Notamacropus eugenii: one gene and its partner. The protein of the gene in region 1 purifies or fractionates together with the protein of each later gene. This does not show direct contact. Links are inferred from orthologs where the notes say so. Each region holds a gene or a part of one and is shown on either strand. Other genes may lie near its edges.

Region 1 (10,464 bases):
ACTATGTACCTTCACCGAGCCTGGTTCTTCCCAAGGGAAGAGGAAGAGAGGAGGGGCTTTGCTCCCAGGGAGCCTTCCAAGTGTGGACAAATAAAGTTTGTACAAAAATGGAAAAGAAGAGGGCAGGAAAAGGGGAAATAGTAAATTGCTGCTAGAATCTTTGAAGATGCAGAAAAGGCTTCTTGAGAGCCCAAACCTGAACCCAACAGAAACGAAGCCACACAGTGTATCAAGGTACCCACTCCACGAGCAGCTGTCACTGATGTACTCAGCAAAAGGAGAGATTGTGGACCTGCCTTTTCCTAGGTCTGGGAAATTCCCTCTACCAATACAGCTCAGCACCTCTTCTGAAGACAGCAACCTATATTATACAACTAAGTAATTAAGTGGCACAATGGTTAGAGCCCTGGGCCATTTGGAATGAGGAAGACTCATCTTCCTGAGCTCAAATCTGCTCTCAGCCACTTATTAGCTGTGTGACCCTGGGCAAGTCACTTCCATCTGTTTGCCTCAGTTTGCTCACCTATAAAATGAACTGGAGAAGAAAATGGCAAACCCCTCCACCATCTTTACCCCATGAGGAGTCACAGGAGCAGGACACAACTGAAACAACAGATCAACAACGAACACATAGTTAAATAAAATGAATATTTAGTTGCCTAAGAAGTACCCAAGGACAGCCCCTCTACAGATTTCTGAGTGAAGAAAAACAAGCCTCACACAGAAGAAACCAATGTCTCCCCTGAACAACAACAAGCCAACCTCTCTTCCAGCTGTCTCTGCCACATCCTGGCAGGGCAAAGAACCTTCTCCATGCCCTCATCTTTTAAGCCTATGCACTGCATTGGGAGGCGATTCTTTACTTGAGGTGTAGTACCTAGCCTCAAATACTCTATGTTCAAAATATGTTAACAAATTAATCCAATTATTAGTAATGATGAGGCACAAACAGTATCCTGAAACTGATTCTCACTAAGAGAAGTTTCCTTCTGAATTCAAAAGACATGGACCTGCTAGATAGAAGGATTTACTAGACAGTCTGCCAGCAGGCCAGATTTCCCCAATGATGGTTTGTATCATATGCTTCTGACAACTACATTGTAAAATTCAAGTTAAAGATAGGAATCAAAATGGAAACCTTTCAAAGAATAAGAACCTCTTCCATGTCCACACAAAATGAATAAAGTTAAGGTTTTGTTATGAAATGCCAAACTGTCATTAGTTGAAAAATACCAAGAAGCTGTTTTTCTTTTTAGACAATTCTGCATTCAATGAACTTGTAAATGCTTCTAGGCCCCTGCAATGGACCAGCAATGGCAGTTCCTAAGTTCTCTGCCAAGAGGTACTGACTTCCTATCTACTCCCACTCCTTTTTCAAAGTTCCTCTCTATGTCCTAAAATCACCACCTGGGAAATGAGGCAGTTTGGCTCAAGAGGGAATTACTGAAAACATGCTACAAATGTGCAGGCCCTCTTGGCTAGTGGTACTTGCTATGACTTTCATCCAAATTGGGTCTAAAGATGGAACTCATAGGAGAGTTTAATGCCTTATAGCCTTGAAACTAAAGTTTTCCTAAGGAAGCTCACTAAATGCAGATGGCAAAATGAGGGAAAAGATTCAAAATTCCACATATCATGAGACAAAATAATCCACTTACATAGATGCAAAACTAAGGGAATATCATTTCCCCAAAGCCAGTCAATTTAGAAGCCCAACTTGATGTGGAGGTTACAAGGCCCAAGTAGGACAAGTAAGATTCACCTTCAATGGCCCTTTCCAGCTCAACTTCACTTTCTGGTGTCTATATTTGTGTGAATGAATGTTCAGGACTTTCTCTTCCCACTGACTGCTCAATTACTGTGAATACTGAGCTGAGATGAAGGTGCTTCCTTAATCAAACTTAGATTGATAAAGAGGAATTTCCCAATTATTATTAGTAGATGTCATTTTGAGAAGTACCTTAAAAGTGAAGACATTCTCTTTACGTGGATTTAAAACCTCTAGAAAAATATCTTTTCATCCCCAAGTGAATCACGTAAGTTCAGAAACCAAGCACACTTGGAGGCTCCACGGGCCTACCTGGCACCAGAACACACATGTACCTCAATGACCTTGGAAGGCCACATTATATAACAAAGGTTTCTCCTCTTTCCACAAGAAACACATTCTCTATCAGCCTGAAACTGTGATGATGACCAAGGGAGCTTTGGGGCTGGTGCCAACCTTCCTCCTGTCAGGGTAGGCAGCTCTTTGTCCAAATAAATGTCATTTTACTGGCAAGTTTTTGTGAGACAATGAAATCAGCGACAAAAACTGAACCAACGTTCAATGTATATTGGAGACCATGGATCTCCCTTATCCTGGGTGGTTCCTCTGACTGGGGCACACTTTCCTAGGGGGCAGATGGGGAGGAAATAGGAACAGCAGAAAGGATGGAGCAAGTTCTCGTCTCTGGCTGCATACCTAGCATCCCATGGGGCTCAATGAGAATCCCTATGTAGGAGCCAAATCTTAAGAAGGGGGAGGGAACAGAGAGAGAGAGGTAAAAAAAAGGTAGCGTGCCATGGGACACAGTGCCAGATATGGAGTCTTGTCCCAGGTTAGGGTCACCAAGAGGCAAGGGCCAGGTCTCAAAAAAGATGCAGGGATTTCATGGGCCATGGCCCTGGAAGTCAGATGTGCCTTCTATGAACCTGGATGCTCCCTCCCTTCTCTGCTTTCAAATGGAGCCAAGTCCATGCTACAGCAGTGGATGATGGGGGCACCCAAAGGAATTCCCACTGTCTCTTCACCAAGTATCTTTGTGGAGCACTGCTGATAGATGAGAGGAAAACAAAAAAGAATCTTTTGTCTTTTCCACTGAGTGTGTTGAAAATACTAGACACCATTCTGTTTGTGGTCATCCAGATGCCCATTACCCAATGCTTTTAAAGAATGCTTACTGTGATCTTTACTAAATACAATTTTTTTACCCAGACCATATGCTCTCTGCCTCCTTTACTCCTAATCTAGACTCCCAGGGCAACCCCTTCAACTCTCCACTCCTATTTCCCATGGCTTCTTCCCTCATGCCCTGCCAAACCTGAATGACTCAGACCCTCTGCACACGTGGACAGAGCCAATGAAAGTCTGGAAACCCAGCTGACTCAGTCTACTACAAATGAAGTTACAGTCTCCCCGGTGGCTGTTCCTGCAGCTCCTTCTTCCATCCTCCCTGACTTTGCCTCCCCCTTCTTCCCTCCTCCAGGCCCTGCCTCCATTTATCTCCTCCTCTCCAAACTCTCGAAGGCCCCTCTCTTTGCCATCCACACAACCTCGGTCCTGTTTTCTCCAGCAGACTGCCCCCTGTCCCCGTTCCTCGCACCGACGGTCTCCTCCCTTGCTCCCCAAAAACAACCACCCCCATTTAATCCTCTGCTCCCTGCTGTCCATCGGCCTAGTCTGCTCTTCTTCCACCTGGCCTCACGGTCCTAGTCCTCTCACCTGTTCCTCTCGGCTTCCAACTGAGATAGCTCTCACCCGAATGCTGACCTCTGCGAGCTCTGGGCCTGGGTCAGCCCCCTCAGTGACCTCAACGGATCCCGGCGGGTCCGTTCTGGCCCCCACACGGGGTGTCCCCTGGGGACCCCCAACCCCCGGACACGCACCCTGGGGCTCCCATCGGAAGGGAATTCGGCAGACGGGGAGCGCTTCACGACGCTTAGCGACCGATACGATGAACACAACAACTCACAGCGCCCCCCTTCCTTAAAAGTGAAGGCGGAGCCGGGGGAATGGGGGTCTGCAGGGCCCGAGAACCAGAGCGGGGAGGGGGGCAGGGGAGCCCTCAGCCCGAGCCCGGGGCAGGGTCCGAGCGGCCAGCCCCGGGGGAGCGTCAAGGGTCCGAGTGGCCAGCCCGGGGAGGGGCGCGGGGGGGAAGGGGGAGCGCCCTTACCTTCGGCCACGTCCTCGTCGATGGCGCCCTTCACCTGCCAGAAGCACCACTGCAGGTCGCTGCCGCCCATCGCAGCCGGGCCGCCGCCCGGGCCGCCGCCCACGCCGGCTCCTGCAACGAGCGCACGGGCCGGTCAGCGCAGTCGGGGAGGGGGGACGGGGTCACGCGGAGGTCACGGGCAGGGACGGCGGGGGGAGACCCGGGGAGCGGGGAAGGGGGACGCGGGGCAGAGCTGGGGGAGGGAGGGGAGGGAGGGGAGGGGGGGGCGGACGGCGCCTCACCTGCCATGGCTGCCAAGCCAGGCCCGGAGTGCGCGGCGGGTCGGGGCCGGGGCCGGGCCGGGCCGGGGTGGGCGGCGGCGGCGGGGCCCCGGCTGGGCTCCTGCAGCTCCGCCCGCGCCTCTGCCGCCGCGGACCGAGCGCCGCCTCCCCCCGCAAAATGGCGCCCCGAGCCGGCGCCCGGACCGATGGCGTCACCGCCCTCCGCTCGAGGCCACGCCCCCGGTCGGCCCCGCCCCCGAGCGCTCCTCCTAAGGCTGCGCTCCATACGCTACTCAGAGGCCACGCCCCGACGCCGGCCCCGAGGCTTCTCCCTATACGCTGCCCCGTGGCCCCGCCCCGAGCCATCCTCCCGAGGCTCCGCCCCTCACTTCCCCAGCGGCCCCCGAGGCAACGCCCCCCAAAGGCCACGCCCCGACACCTGCTCAGAAGGCTCCGCTCCCCTACACCTCCGCCTCCGAGGCCCCGCCCCGGCTCCTCTCCAGGCCCTATCCTCCGTTGGGGGTCGCGCTCCCCTCACCTCAAGTTACGGCCTCCTTCCCAGAACCCTTCCCGAGTCCCGCTACCTTTCCCGCCCGGTGCTCCTCCTGCCTGGTAAAGAGGGAGGAGCCTCGGCGAAGGGAGGGGCGGAGAGGTGGAGGGAAGGGGAGGGGGGGAGAAAGGGGGAGGCAGAGGCGGAGTGGGGGAGGGGTGTTTGAGAAAGGCAAGGGGAAGGAGGGAAGGGGAGAGGAGAAGAAAGGGGGAGGCAGAGGCAGGGGAGGAGAGAGCCCCTTTGCAGGCAAAGAGATGCAAAGGGTCTTGGAGGTCCCCAAATCCATTTCACAGGTGAGGAAACTGAGCCTCAGAGGGGGCAGGTGAGGGCTGCAGCAGGGTCCTCCTTCTGTGCCCTCCCTTCCCCTCACCCCCCTGGGCTGAGGGTCTCCCACTGGGCACTCACTCCGGGGCCCTGGAGGAACGTAGGAGACAAGGAGTCTCCCTTTGAATATGGGGGAATCCCAGAATCCCCAGGCTGTAAGTTCATCATTCATAATTTATCCCTATGGGTAACTTCCCTACAGAAACTCTCCTCCGGATGCTGATCAATAACTTGCCAAGAACACAAAGAGTAGGTGATTTGTCCGAGGTCAACTCTTTTTATTAAAGGCAGGACTTGAACTCAGAGCCCTTCTCGGCTGCAAGGTCACCTCTAGTCATCGTGTATGTGAGGCCATTGAAAACTTGAAAGCGCCCACATGAATGTCAGGGTAGTTATTGTTGAAAGTACTTTTGTTCTGGTTGTTCAGTCTTTTCAGTCACGTGGGAGTCTTTTTGGCAAAAGTCCTACAGTGCTTTGCCATTTCCTTTTCCAGTTCATTTTACAGATGAGGAAACAGGCAAATAGGGTAAAGTGACTTGCCCAGAGTCACGCAGCTAGGAAGTGTCTAAAGCTGGCTCCACAGTAGCCCACAGTTTGAAACCCTTGTTCATCCATGTTGTCTGTGTAAGACACAGGCACATCTCTTACTTAGAAGGGCCCCCAAGGTCATCTGGTCCCACCTGCACCTGAACACAGCCTGAATCCCCACTCCAGCTCACCCTATGAGTGGTCAGCCATCCAGCCTTTTCTTTAAATAAATGTTTATGGATGGATTGATACCAAATGAACACAGATGAGTGCATACAATATCATTTGAGGCCTGAGAGATATAAAAAGGTAGTATGAGGAAGCCAATGGCTGATCTGATTCCTCAGGAAGCCAAGGATTCTCACAGATCTTGAGGGAGACTAGAGAGTGTGTCCAAAGGTGTGGCATTGGGTCCACATTCAGGTCCTACATTCAGGAAATTCTACAAGTAGTCCTATTCATTTGGTCATTCATTTCTTTTTTCTTTGTTTTTCTTTTTTTCATTAAAAGGACCATTCCCTGACTACTTCTTAAAGAGGCCTAGTTACTCAGTGGGTGTTACTTCCCTCTAAATGAGTACCTGAAAAGGCCAGCCTAAGAAGGCCAAGGTCTCCCACTGCATCCTGGCCCATCTCCAGTCATCCTGATGAATATCTGGTCACTGGACCCAGATGACTCAGGAGGAAAAAGTGAGGTTGGTGACCTTGCACAGCTCTCCCTCACTCAAAACAAAGTCAAGGGCAAGTCATGTAATCATTTCTCTGGTGTCATGGTCTTCTTTGAAAACAAAGAATGAACATAAAAGGGCATGAAAGGGAATAAGATGGAGTTAGTTTGAAAAGGGACTCAGAAGAACAGGCTGAAGAGTGTGTCTGTATTGTTCTAGAGATAGTGGGAAGTCACTCAAAGATTTTGTACAACAGAAGAATGACCAAGTCAGGGAGATATCCTAGAAATAGGACTTTTCCAGTTGTGTGAAGGATGGATCAGTGAGGGGAGATCCTAGGAGCAGGGATACCAATCAGGAGACCCTTTCAAAGGTCCAGCCTTGAATTGGTAAGGGTTGGAACAAGACTGCTGACTGTGTGGATAGAGAGAAATGGAAGAGGGGAGTAAACATTTATAGCAAACATTCAATAATTAATAAATACGTATTAAATGCCTACTGTGTATTAGTTGCCATGCTAAGTGCTCTTACAAATATGATCTCATCTGATCCTCACAACTGCCCTGTGAGGTAGATGCTATGGTTATCCTTATTTTAGAGTTGAGAAAACTGAGGCAAACAGAGGTTGTGACTTGCCCAGGATTACCCAGTCAATAAATGTCTGAGGCCACACTTGAGCTTAAGTCTTCCTGACTCCAGGCCCATATCTCTGCCCACTGTCCTACCAGCTACCTTAGAAAAGGACAGATCTGTCCCTTAGAAAAGAAGAGATGTGAGTCATGCTGTGGAGATGGAATTTAAAAAGCCTGCTAATAGATGGGAAGTGGGGGTAGGAGAGGGAAGAGACCAGGATGACTCTGTAGTTATGATCCTGAATGATTGTAAGCAGAGGAGTGACCTCAACAGACAAAGGAAAGCTGGAAGTTTGTCAGGGTGTAATGGGAAATAATTCTATTTTGGACATTTGGAGTTTGAGATGCCTGGGACAAGGTTCAAACAGTGGAATACCAATGAGGGGAAATTCTATTCCAGATTTGATTCTTATGCACAAGGAAGGCTTCTAAGTTGCTGAGGTAGAAATGATGAGTAACTTTGGAAAGAAGTAACCACTTCACATTAGAGTTTATGGAAGGGGAGAGGAAAGCCAGGCAGGGGCTGACGTGCACTTTGTGTTTCAGAAGGGCAGACTTCAAAGGGTTCCCAAAAAGATAGAAGCCTAGTAGAGGCTCAGAAGGGATGAGAAGTTCTCCACTTCCAAAGAGCAATTCCTGTGAGGATAAAAAAGAAAGTTTTCTAAAGAAGATGAATGTGGGTGCTCAGAGAATACAACAAGCAATTGAAATTCTGAAAGAAGGAATATTTAGAACTTGGAATCAAGAGCACTGAGCTGAGTGAATACAAGGTCACAGAAGAGCACAGTCAGGATATGGGCAAGTGTGAAGGCTCAGGCAAAGCTGAGACCATCCAGGAAAGCTCAGGAAGTCCAAGGCATTTTTTGGCTTCATGAAGGGAAGAGGAGGATGCCAAGATTGGCCTACTCTCCAGAGTCTTCAGGAGAAGACTGAAAACTTAAGACTGAAGGAGGCAGAACTGCTTCAATTGTGTTTTTTCTTCTGTTTTAATTGAAGGGATAATAATGTTTAGATGGCAAAAGACAGAAGAAAAGCATGGCTAAGTAGTACATAGGGTCATCAGATACTAGAGGGCACCTGAGAGGTTGTCAGATCCATGCTGACCTATTTAACCAGCCATTGTTGAAAAGTGCGAAATGGATAAAAGAATAGACATAAATACAGACATCACCATTTCCTGTAAGTATGAAGATTCCCTTGCCAAGTGGAGAGGTGTGGTAGACAAGGGCAGTATTAATTAAGGGGATACCTAAGATAGGAAGAGACTAAGAATGTCCTTGATGATGAAGAGGATAGGATGATTGGATTAGATGAACTTTGTGTCCTTGAGTCCTGAAAAAACTGGCTGATGTGATTGCAGAACCAAAGTCACCAATCTTTGAAAGATCCTTTGAAAGAATGAGGTGGGCAGATAGATCATAGGATTAAAGAAAGACAAATGACCTGGTTTATTTTTAAAGAGGGGAATAAACAGACTACCATCATGAGGCAGGTGGAGTAGACTTCAATGCCTCTTGAAATTCTAAAGCATATCATTAGAGAGATGGTTAGTGAACACCAAGAAAAGGAAGCAGTAACCGCAAAGATTTAATAATATGGAAGCTTCAGCAAAAGTTGTTCATGCCAGACTAACCTCATTCTTTTCTTTGGTAAGGTTACTAAACATATGCTATAGATACAGTTGGCCTAGATTTCAGTGTTCAATAACATCGTTGATGCTTTTCTTGTAGAAGAGATATAGAAATGTGGGCTACATGAAAGTATGCTTATGTGAATTCAGAATTGGTTGAATGGCTGGAACCAGTGGTAATTAATGATAATGGTTTGGAAGGTGCTCTCTAATGGAGTACCCTAGAGGTGTGTGCTGTTTACAGTTTTTGGAGGGGGAGATAGATTAGTTGGCATGCTTATCATATACCCGACTTAACATAAAGCTGGGATGGATTGCTAACAAGCTGGATGCTGCAGAATTAGGATCCCAAATGATCTATAATACTGGGCTACATTCAATCAGATGGCATTTAGTAGGAAGAATTGGTACATTGGGGTCACAAATACAAGCTGGGGGAGGACTGGTTCATCCAAATGAGTCACCAGTCTTTGTGGCCACTAGGAATATCACGGCAGTTTGAATGCCTGCTCAGCATGTGGCATGCAGGTCCAGAGGTGATGACAGTCCCCAATCTGGAAGGCTGTGCATTGAGGAAGGACATTGATTATTTGGAGAGGGTCCAGAGGAGGATGTTCAGGACAATCAGAAGCACCTCAAGGTTGTACCTTGAATGTAAGACCTGGGGATGTTTAACTTAGAGGAAAGAAGACTCTTCAGACAAATGAGAGCCACCTCCCAGTAACTGAAGGGTTGCCATGTGGAAGAAGGATTGGACTTGTTCTGTTTTCTTCCTGGGGACAGATCCTGGAACAATGGATGGACAACTTAGAAGCCACCCTCTCCTACAGAGATGTCTTCAGGAGGTAGTGGTTTCTCTCATGTGCCAGGTCTTCAGGCAAAAGTAGAATATGGAGTATGTTGTAGAGATGAGGAGGGGATGGATTCTCATTCAGATCCAGATCCTTTGACTCTGTGAGTCTGTGATTCCAGGGGCAATATTCTGCAAGCGGTGGAAGGAGCAACACTTGAGGTCAGAAAGGGCTTCAGGTGGATAACGAAACCTGGGCTTCATCTGGATGGAGATGATCATTCAGCACATGGGAACTGAAACTAGGTGATACTTCTTAATTACAGATCAGATTCTGTCACTCCCATATTCAGGAACCTCAGGAGCCTATGGACTCTGAATGCAGATTGAAACATACTATTCTCTCTCTTTCTCTGTTTTGTTTCTTCTTTCTCATGATTTTTCCCTTTTATTCGAATTCTTCTTTACAACATGACCAATGTGAAAATATGTTTAATATGATTGCACATGTATAGCCAATATTATATTGCATGCTTGGGAGTGGGAAGCTGAGTTGGGGGGGAGAAAATTTAGAACTCAAAATCTTATAAAAGTGAATGTTGAGAACTAAAGATAGATAGATAAATAATTTATTTAAAGAAAAAAGAAAGGTAGATGCCAGGACAGAAGGGTGGGGTCCAGGTTTTTTGTTTATTTTGCTTTGTTTTTAAGGATGGAAGACCTGGGCATGTTTATGGGGAGCAAGGAAGATGCTAGTGAAGAAGGAAAGATGGAAGAAGAGAGAGAGAAGTCCTTTGTTGGAGAAACGTGGAAAGACAGGAGAAAGAGCATCAGTGGAAGGGTTTCGGAACAAATATGGAAAATTTGAGAGAATTGAGACTAACGAAAGCAGACTGAGGAAGGTGACCCACCAAGGACACCTTGGGTCTTCAAAGTGCAGGACCTACATCCTTTGTGTCCCACTGTGGTTCTACCCACTGGAAAGATGAAAAAAGACTTTGCATTTTTGCTTCATCTGTTATTATGTTAAGCACTTTAAAAATCTCTTTTGTGAGTTTCTTTATTCTGAATCCAAGGTTGTGATAACTTCCTGTATTTTACAAGGCAATTACCCTAATTCTTGGTATTTGGACATGTCATAACTTGAG
Region 2 (10,088 bases), about 240 Mb from region 1:
CAGCATCCCTCAGCTTCATCCCAGCATGCACACACAAACTCACTCTAAACAGCTCCTTGAGATCGTAGAATTGTCCATGGATGTCCCCGCACACCTGGGGTAAGAATCACAGAATGTCAGAGATGGAAGGAACCTGAGAGAACATCTAGTCAAAACTCCACATTTTACAGGTAAGAATCTGAGACCCAGAGCCTTGCTCCAAGGTCAGGCAGTGACAAAGCTAGAATTCAACCTAGCCCTCCTTTCTTAAAACCAACAAGAAGCCAGCAGGCAGCTAAGAAAGGAGCAGAGCACTTGCCTAACCCAGCATTGCCTGCAGAGTTAACTAACCCAGTGCATATGTAGCAGAGTCAGGTAAACTGGCTCAGTGTCCAGATCAGGTCCTTCTGCCCTAACCACAAGGTCCCCTTAGATCTCAAACTCCTTCCCATTAACAACTGGTGTGATGTTACTTTAATGATGGCAAAGGAAGTGAAACAACGACACAGTAAGACTCTAGCAAGCAAGAGTCTGAGTTTAGAGAATTCTGTGGCCAGGCCTCTATGAAAGGGAAACCTAATTCCATGTGGATTAGTGACCAAGCTGGACTTCAAATGCATGTATGTGTATATGGAAGTGTAAAACCAGGCCAAAGGAAATATGTAGGACTACAACAATTAGAACCTGAAGGCATCTAGCATAGGAGACTAGATATTTAGTCCTAGAGTTCTTAACCAGAGGGTCCATGGATTTTTTTAAAAAATGTATCTTGATAAGTATTTCAGTGTAAAATAATTTCCCTTGTAATCCAATAAATTAAAAAATTTAGATTTAAAAATATAGATTCTGAGGAGTTCAGAGGGCTTCACTAGACTGTTAAAGAGCTCCCTGTCACAAAAAAGGGCAAGAACCCTTGATCTAGCCCAACTCCCTTATTTTACAGATGAAGGAACTGAGACCTAGAGTGGTGCAGTGTCATGCTCAAGTACTAAGTAGCAGAGTCAAAATTCAAACCCACACCCCCTGACTCCTAGTACAGCACTTTCCCGCTATGTGTGTGCATATTTGTGAAAGACTAAACTCTTTATTGGGTGTTTATGTGCCAGGTCAAGTCTGATGGGATGGGCATACGTGCATAAACCAGCCTTGATTTAGGGATGGGGGAAGGGCTAAGGCTTTACTTACCGTGACAGGGGAGTCCACTCTCTGTACATTGCTCTCTTCCACCAAGATCTCTCTGAAGACACAAGGAGATGGTTGTCACAGCCAGATCAGGCCCCAGAGCAGCACTCCCTACCTCTATTCAAGGCCAGGTCTGACCCTGCCTTACCAGAGGCCTACAGAGCTGGCCTGGAAAGACTTCAGGGATCACTGTGAGAAGCACAAGAGTACCAGCACCCAGAAAGGACTCACAAGTGGATCAGGAGACTCTCTGTTCTCTCTGCCCCCTCCTCTATGATAGATCATGACAACAATCTTTCCATAGAGTATAGTTCTCAGGGTATCACTAGCTCCTTGTTCAAAAATCTCAATTCAATTCAAATTTATTAAGCTACATTATCTACTACATTCAAGATACTATACTAAGTGTGGGGGAGAGGGAAGAGGATACAAAGACAAAAACAAAAAAGTACTTGCCCTCAAAGAGCTTACATTCTACAGGGGAGAGACCGACACAGATGCAAACACATAAATACAAAGGATATGCAAAATAACACATAGGAATCAAAACTGAGAGTATGGTAACTGGAGGAGGGGAGAGAATCAGGAAAGATCTTGTGTATGAGTTGGCACCTGAGCTGTATCTTGAAGGAAGAGGGAGATAAGAAGAAAAGGTAAGGACACCTAGGCACCTGTGTATCCTAACAGGCAAGTGTCCAAACTCCTTCAGCTGGCCATTCAAAATGGATTCCTATGCTCAGATGCCACCCCATCTCAGAATATCCGACTTGAATCAAAGAGATCATCTAAGTCCAAATCTCCATTCCAGAGAGGAGGAAAACTGAGGTGGACAGAGAAGGGATAAAGTGACTTGCCAAAAGTCACAAAGTTTGTGACAGAGATGAGACTTCTGATTTCAAACCACGTCTGTTCCCAGCTCATCCAGTACTACTTCACATAACTTCAGCCAAACTGGGGAACTGCTCATTTCCCAAAGTCATTTTTGTTTCCCTACCAATACACTTTTGATCATGCAAGTCCTTCTCTAACTCCTTTCAGACCTAATTCTAACACCATATTTTCTCTGGGATATCTTTCCAGATCACTCCAGTTCACATTTGTGCATCCTCTGAAACCCTAGAGTACTTTGCCTATACCTCTTAGAGTATAGTACACATTTGGTCTTTTATTCCATATATCATGAGTATATATATTACATATATATTATATATATATTCCATATATCATGTATACCCACTCACCCTAGATTATACGTTCTTTTGTGGTAGGAACTGCCTTTTTTTGTTTTGTTTTTTGGAGAGAGAGGGAGTAGGGAGGGCATTTTTCACAGAATTCTTAGATGAATAAATGAATTTTAAAATTTCTCTTTTTTTCTAGGGGTCCTAGAAGAAAAGAGGATGGAGAAGCTCAAGAGTTAGTATGGGTCTTGGAGAAGCAGGGCAGAGGAAGAGGATAGGTTTCCTCAAAGTCAAGGTCCAAAACCTGGGGTCAAATAGTGTCTCATCTGGTGCTATACCAAAGGCCAAAACGAGTGTCCATTGGATCTCAAACTAGTAAAAGAATGGTGCCAGGGGCGGGGATGGTGCTCTGTAAAATCTTGAGGAAGAGTAAGGTCCTAGATATCAGCACAGGCCTATCTCTTTATATGCAGTTTGTCCACTGGGGACAGCAGAGCAGTCCCTTCCAATCTGGCTATTACAGGTAACCAAGGCAAACATGGGGAAACGAATACTGCAAGACCTTGGACCTAACCAAACATTCCTGATTTCTTAGGGGTTGTGGGTCCCTCCTTTAATCCTAACCTACAAGTCAGGACATAATAGCTCACACTCAGCTTTTTTTCAGGGTAAGATTTAAATTCTACCCCAATGTTCCCCTCTACGTCCACATGAGTCTAACTGGTTAACAAAGCTTTCACCATGTCACTCCTTTGCTCAAGAACCTTCAGCTATATCCAGACATCGAACCTAAGCTATGTGGCTTTCAAGGTCGCCCATAATCAAAAGCCCCTCTTACTGTTCCTAGTCCACACTAAATGTCACTCCTGCCACCTTGCTGTCCTATCATTTACTTTGCTTTCCCTGTCCACCAGCTTCCATCTAATGCAAAGGCCCAGCTTGAGTCTCACCTGTTTCCAAGAAGCCCTGACTGACTGACCACCCTCCCTGATCTCTTTGAATTCCTACAGGAACTTACGGCCCAATACAAAACCCAGCTCTAGCCAGGGCTTCCTGTTCATCCTGCTTATTCCAGGAGATGAGGGGCTCCCTTCCTGAAGGGTGGGACGGTTTTATTTATTCCCCGCCGGGCTGAGGCCTCAGTAAGGTCTCCCTAATGACTTTACCATTACACAGTTGCCAGGGGCAACCTGGCCGCCCTCCGTAGGCATTAAGCTTGACCCCCACAATGGACACCCTCGGACTCGGCCCGGTGGCTGGCGCCGGCCTCGCGAGAGGCGCGGAGGCTCACCTGGCCTTGGCGCACAGGGCCTTGACCTCGCTCTCCTTGATGAGCTCGCAGCGGCGCAGCTGCTCGATCTGCCGGTCCAGGTCACTGATCTCCGCCATGGTCCCCCCGCCTCACGCGGCCCCCCCCGGTGCGGGGGGCGGGGGGGGGAGACGCGCCCGGGGGTCCGAGCCCCTCCCTACTCCGCCCGCCCGCACGGGGTGTCTCCTGGAAACCAGGGTGAAGAGACAGGGTCAGCGGGTCAGACACACAATGTGGCCCGCGCCACCCCCGGGCTCCCCAAGCTCGGGGCCCCGCAGATGTCCCCCCGCCTCCCACCCCTCGCAGGCCCTAGGCCGGGCCCGGTGCCCCGCTCCGGCCGCCGCCCGGGATCCCCGGGAGGTTGGGGAGGGGAGAAGCCCAGCACGGCGGAGCCCAGGGGCCAGCCGGGAGGGCAGGACGGCGGCCCACGGGCGAGAGAGAGAACTCCTGAGGCTATTACCGACGCGGCGGCTCCGGGACTCCACTCTCGAGCCGCGGGCTCCGGGCTCCACCTTCGAGCCTCCGTCCGCTCCCGGCCGCCACTGCTGCCGCTGCTTCCGGCCCCGCCGCGGAAGCCGAAGTCCACTTCCGTCGCGCAGCGGAAGTAGCGTCAGAGGTTCGACGCCCCACCCCTCCCGTCTTCAGAAAAAAATCGGGCAAAGGAACCGGATGTTGTCCTTGAGAGCGGAAGTAATCCCTGAAGCGCGAGTCTGAGGAGGGGCTTCCAATGCGAGTCATTACTAGGCCCCGCCCAGATCCCTGCGATCTTAGTCCACTCCCCGAAAGCGCTACGGAAGATAGGGGAGAGCAGATTGTATTATTATAGTTTTAGGAACCATTGCAGCTGGACTATGTGTATTAGACGCTTGAGAAAGGTGGGGCTCAGAAAGCGGAAATGACCTGTCCAAGGTCACAGCTAATTAGTGGCAGGCCCTGGATTCCACTCCGGGGCTCCAAGGCCTGCGGCTTCTCTTCTCGGAGAATAGGCCGCATGGGGGATTTTAGGGCTGTGGGCCGGAATGGGACTACGGGCCCCTTTCACGGATGTTTCGTCTTCCGGGCCCTAGTCTGAGACCATGGGCAGGGCCTTTGTGACCGCTTTCCACGCCTTCCCCTCAGGGCTGCTCCCCATCTCCTTCCTCTCATTCCCCCATCAGCAGTCCTGCAGGGCCTCCCTTCCTCTCTCCAGCAGCTCCCCATCTCCTTCCTCTCATTCCCCATCAGCAGTCCTGCAGGGCCTCCCTTCCTCTCTCCAGCAGCTCCCCATCTCCTTCCTCTCATTCCCCCATCAGCAGTCCTGCAGGGCCTCCCTTCCTCTCTCCAGCCGCTCCCCATCTCCTTCCTCTCATTCCCCCATCAGCAGTCCTGCAGGGCCTCCCTTCCTCTCTCCAGCCGCTCCCCATCTCCTTCCTCTCATTCCCCCATCAGCAGTCCCGCAGGGCCTCCCTTCCTCTCTCCAGCAGCTCCCCATCTCCTTCCTCTCATTCCCCCATCAGCAGTCCTGCAGGGCCTCCCTTCCTCTCTCCAGCCGCTCCCCATCTCCTTCCTCTCATTCCCCCATCAGCAGTCCCGCAGGGCCTCCCTTCCTCTCTCCAGCCGCTCCCCATCTCCTTCCTCTCATTCCCCCATCAGCAGTCCTGCAGGGCCTCCCTTCCTCTCCAGCAGCTCCCCATCTCCTCATTCCCCCATCAGCAGTCCTGCAGGGCCTCCCTTCCTCTCTCCAGCAGCTCCCCATCTCCTCATTCCCCCATCAGCAGTCCTGCAGGGCCTCCCTTCCTCTCTCCAGCAGCTCCCCATCTCCTTCCTCTCATTCCCCATCAGCAGTCCTGCAGGGCCTCCCTTCCTCTCTCCAGCCGCTCCCCATCTCCTTCCTCTCATTCCCCATCAGCAGTCCTGCAGGGCCTCCCTTCCTCTCCAGCAGCTCCCCATCTCCTCATTCCCCATCAGCAGTCCTGCAGGGCCTCCCTTCCTCTCTCCAGCTGTCTCCACCTATCAGAACCTTGCCCATCTCTGCAGGATGACCTTGTGTGGGCTTCCCTGAAACCTATAGCATTTTCCCTTTATGTTGTTCAGTCGTAGCCCATTTGGTGTTTTCTTGGCAAAGATACTGCAGTGAACTTTTGCCATTTGCCCTTCCAGCTCATGTTTCAAAGATCTGAGGAATGGAGGCAAACAGGGTTAAGTGACTTGCCCAGGATCACACACCTAAGTGTCCAGGCCAAATCTTAAACTCAGATCCGTGAGTCTTCCTTATTCCAGGTCCAGCACCTATCCACCACCTACTTGCCCTTATAAGCATCCTTTGTTGTGGCATTTGCCAACTAATAAACTAACATTTAGAATGGCACCAAATATTTTGCCATGTTTTTTCTCCTCATAATAGGAAACTGAGACAGGTTGTATAAGTAATGAATTTCCATTTCACAGGTGAGAAAACCAAGATTCAGAAAGCTTTAAGTGACTTGCCTATGGGATACACAAAACACTTCGTAGTCCATCTCCTATCTCTTGCCTCCCAAGGCCAAAACTGTTCGCTATGTTTGTGTATCCTACACTAGTTACTTGTTTGATATATCTTCTCCACTAAACTGTAGATCCTTTAAGAATGAAATAGAGAAATCCCAGTTTGGGAATCGGGATAGCTGGATTCTATACTCTTTCCTTGAAATTTAACAAAGACACCTCCCTCTTTGAAACTTACGCAGTTGAGCTAGGTGATCTTGTACACTGAATGAGCTGAAATAGGCCTCACAGGTCATCTAGCGCAATTCGTGCCTGAATAGGAATCTAGGATAAATGATCATCCTCCAAATGCTGAAGAAACTCTTCTCAACGACAGTCCATTCCATTTTAACTATAGTTTTAAGTTTACTTCCAAAATCAGCACCTTGTTAACTTCCATTACTCCCAATCCTGCTCTTTAGAGCCATAAAAAATAGTACAATCCTTCTCCTATATAAAAATTCTCTATTTTTGAACTATCATGCCATAACCCCTAGTTCTTCCACCTTTCTGTCCTCCAAATTAAATATCCACATTTCTTTAAATTGAAGATTTTTGATTTCTGGTCTCACCATTTTGGTTACTCTTCTGAATGGTCTCAACTTGTAAATACCTATCCTAAAATGTGAGGCTTAAAATAACATCCTAAATGTGTGTTACATTGTATAGAAGATGCTCAGTAACTATGAGAAACAAGTCAAACCTAATAAAAATATAGCCAAATGTGTACTAATTACTCACAAATATGTAAGGACTTATATTTGGCAATAGGAAACCCAAAGTTCTCTTTTGGTTTGAGCTTTTCTAGGCAGAATGACTGAATTTATTATAAAAAGCAGTCACAGGTGGATAATTTGTAGGGATTGACTTAAATTTGGGACAAATTTACATTGGGATAAAGGTGCTATTGACTTAGTAGTCTGTCCCAGACATAAGTTTCTATTGCTCTTTAACAGTCTTATTGTCCAAGATTACACAGCTAGTAATGGGAAGGACCAAATGCTTAGCCCTTGTGCTTACAAATCCACTGTTTTTCCCTACCCTATCAAGCTGCTGCTTCATTCTTTGGCAGAAAAAGCACATGATTGCAGCCTGACTCTCTCCTATTTCCATGTACCACTGCCAATGTGAGGAAAATAGACTAGAAACTGGTTCCAAGCAAGATCTATGCCAAGGAAAGAAAATTAACGAGTTCTACCATGACACCCTAGATGAATGAAAGGGGCAGACACCTGCCATCTAACTTAAGATGCACAAAACTGAACCCCATTTGCTTTGGCAGACAGGGTCCCAAAATTCCCTGGTGATTTCTTCATGACACATACCAGTGTCAATCATAGTTCTTTGAAAAGAAAAAACCCACCCTACAAATATTATAGGAGATATCTAAGGGTAGTGATTGGGAACAATCTTGATTTTGTAGAGGTTGAGTACTTCTGGGAACCCATCTTGACATCTATGCCCAAGTCAGTGCCAAGAGCAAACTGGCATGATAAGGAACACCTCTCGGGTAAACAATTGGTCCTGGAGCTCCCAAATAGTTCTCAATTGTGACCCACATCAATATTTCCATAGGGAATCTTGCTCTTGGGGAAGGGGAGATTTGGTTGGCAAAATGAGTATGTCCATTTACACACACCCTTGGGAAGATGATACTCTCTTCTCCAATGATCCACAGCTAATTTAGAGTTTGTATTAAAAGCTAGAAAACCCATTTCCTATTTACAACACTCCCCCCCCCCCCCCATACTCCTCACAGGGGGTTAATAAAGATGATTTTTTTTTTTGCTCTAGGCAGAGATTGGTTTTCCTTGCCCTGACAAGACAGTACAAAGCTACAGAAGGACCCAAGCACCCCAAAGGGAAAGTCACCCCTGCCCTATCACAGGCACCAGACTCCTTGTTAAATAGTTGTTTATTGGAAAAAGCGGGCTGAGGAGGGGTCGCTAGATTCACCAGAGAGCAACAATACCGCACAAATGAGGGGTGATGGGACAGGTCAGCACGAAGCTCTGGGATCTCAGCCTCTTCCTGGACTGTGAGGGATGGCCTGGAGTGTTAGGGCATACCCAGCTGGAAGGCCTTGACTTAAGTTAGTAGGCATGGTTAGAGATAAAGAGAGACTCGCTGGCTGCAGCTCCTGCCTTTCCACTTGGAGTATACTTGCCTTGAGCAGCTTGGCTGTTGGCCTAGTGAAGGAAAAGGGAAAGAAGGAAGTATGAGAAAGGCTGGTAGTTCTGGATCCTACCCTCAATGACACCACAGACCCAGCTCAAGCACAGATAAGCTCTGCATCACCAGAAGGGACTGAAGACTACTTATTCTTTTCTCCTTTCCCCAATCCTGACCCCTTGTTAATTTATGTTCCCAGAATCCTGCCTGTCAAGGTCCCTGATCCTGGTTCTTTCCCTTGTCCCTTCTCACCGTGGCCCGCTTAATATATTCCTCTTGGGCAGCCTTGACATTTTCCTTTTTTCCACCCCAGGTCTTGAGAGCAGATGCCTGCAAGGCTCGGCCATAAGAGAAGGTCAGGGCCCATGGCTTGTGCAAGGGGCAAGTATTGATGGCATTGAGATTGATGGAGGCATCCTCTTCACTCTGACCCCCAGAGAGGAAGGTGATACCTATGGAAAGCAGAAAAGAGATGAAAGAAATATCAAATAGTATATAAAAAAGTGCTGGTAACAAGCATTCCTTAAAAAAAAAAAATGAAGAGAACGCATGTGACCCAAGGTGAAAGAAACCATGGGTAATAAATACTGAGGGAGAAATCGATTTCTCTCACCAGTGACCGCAGGAGGTACAGTCCGGCGAAGGGCAGTTACAGTTGCCATTGCAATCTCCTCATGTGAATATTTCTGGGTACAGGCATGGCCAGGGGTGACCATGTTAGGCTTCAGCAAGGTCCCTTCCAGATAGATATGGTGGTCACTCAGAGCTTTGTAGACAGCAGCCAGGACCTAGAAAAATGGCAAAACAACAAAGTTAAGTAGGAAATCACTAGCACTAGCTCCTGATCTACTACTTCCTTCCCAGTCACTCTCCAGTGATTCCTCACATCTCTTACCTTCTCAGTGACATACTGACAACGCTTCAGATCATGATCTCCATCAGGGAGGATCTCTGGCTCCACGATGGGGACAATGCCATTCTATAAAGCAAAGGACAAGGCTGTGAAGGCCTCCCTTACCTGGGGCTAACTTCTAGGCCTCCTTGGCTGTTAACAAATAGAGACATAGACTTTATCTTCATAATGACAGGTGTAAATCTTGAATTCCTCAAATTTCCAAACACTTAGGATCTCAGGGAGAGATGGCTATCTGCCTCCAACCAGTCCCTCATGATAATTATCGTTTATTCATTTTACAGGGCCAGCAGCTGAGGAAGCAGAATAACTGGTGCAGGATCATATGGCTAGTATCAGAGCTAAAATACTCCAAACCTGGCATGTCCCTCACTTTATCACACTGCTGCTTTACAGTTTCTTTTGTTTTGCTGTATCTCAGGCAAACTGAAAATCCCTAGGATACCCACCTTCTCAGGACCCAAATCAGAGAATTTAGTACCAACTGCTACAGGGGCAATAGCTGATGTTTTTTCAACAGCTTGCTGACATTCTCTAGAACTGAAAGGAACTGTTTCGGAATATGGTAGAATAAGGCAGGGGGAGGGTAAGGAGGTACCCACCTGCTGGCAAATGCTAGCATATCGGGCCAGCACATTGGCATTCTCCATGATGGCAAGTGAGGAAGGTGTATGATCCCCAATCTTCAGTACACAACGCCACTTGGCAAAGTCAGCTCCATCCTTCTTATACTGGGCACAGCGCTCACTCAGCCCATCTAGACCTAGTAGTGAGACAATGGTCCAAGAAGTCCTTAAGCAACAACCAAGGTCACTCACTATAGCTTAGATGGGGAGTTAAGACAAAGAATGCC

Evidence for each region.
Region 2: the proteins of PPP2R2D (region 1) and PPP4C purify together in Homo sapiens (affinity purification with mass spectrometry; 3 studies listed by BioGRID and IntAct, counting the BioPlex papers as one, with this or other methods). This does not show direct contact. The link is inferred for Notamacropus eugenii from reciprocal best matches to the Homo sapiens genes PPP2R2D and PPP4C.

The regions. Positions count from the first base shown.
Region 1 is NC_092872.1:289,970,496-289,980,959, reverse strand, and holds the start of PPP2R2D (serine/threonine-protein phosphatase 2A 55 kDa regulatory subunit B delta isoform), read right to left. Parts: upstream 4,224-10,464; coding exon 4,217-4,223; intron 4,047-4,216; coding exon 3,936-4,046; intron 1-3,935. Other genes in the region: uncharacterized protein, read left to right, coding at 4,222-4,807, 10,028-10,305. UniProt on the Homo sapiens protein: Substrate-recognition subunit of protein phosphatase 2A (PP2A) that plays a key role in cell cycle by controlling mitosis entry and exit. Involved in chromosome clustering during late mitosis by mediating dephosphorylation of MKI67.
Region 2 is NC_092872.1:46,809,993-46,820,080, forward strand, and holds the start of PPP4C (serine/threonine-protein phosphatase 4 catalytic subunit), read right to left. Parts: upstream 4,234-10,088; 5' UTR 4,109-4,233; intron 3,835-4,108; 5' UTR 3,729-3,834; coding exon 3,631-3,728; intron 1,217-3,630; coding exon 1,165-1,216; intron 95-1,164; coding exon 44-94; intron 1-43. Other genes in the region: ALDOA (fructose-bisphosphate aldolase A), read right to left, coding at 8,244-8,339, 8,575-8,774, 8,936-9,110, 9,218-9,301, 9,838-9,998. UniProt on the Homo sapiens protein: Protein phosphatase that is involved in many processes such as microtubule organization at centrosomes, maturation of spliceosomal snRNPs, apoptosis, DNA repair, tumor necrosis factor (TNF)-alpha signaling, activation of c-Jun N-terminal kinase MAPK8, regulation of histone acetylation, DNA damage checkpoint signaling, NF-kappa-B activation and cell migration.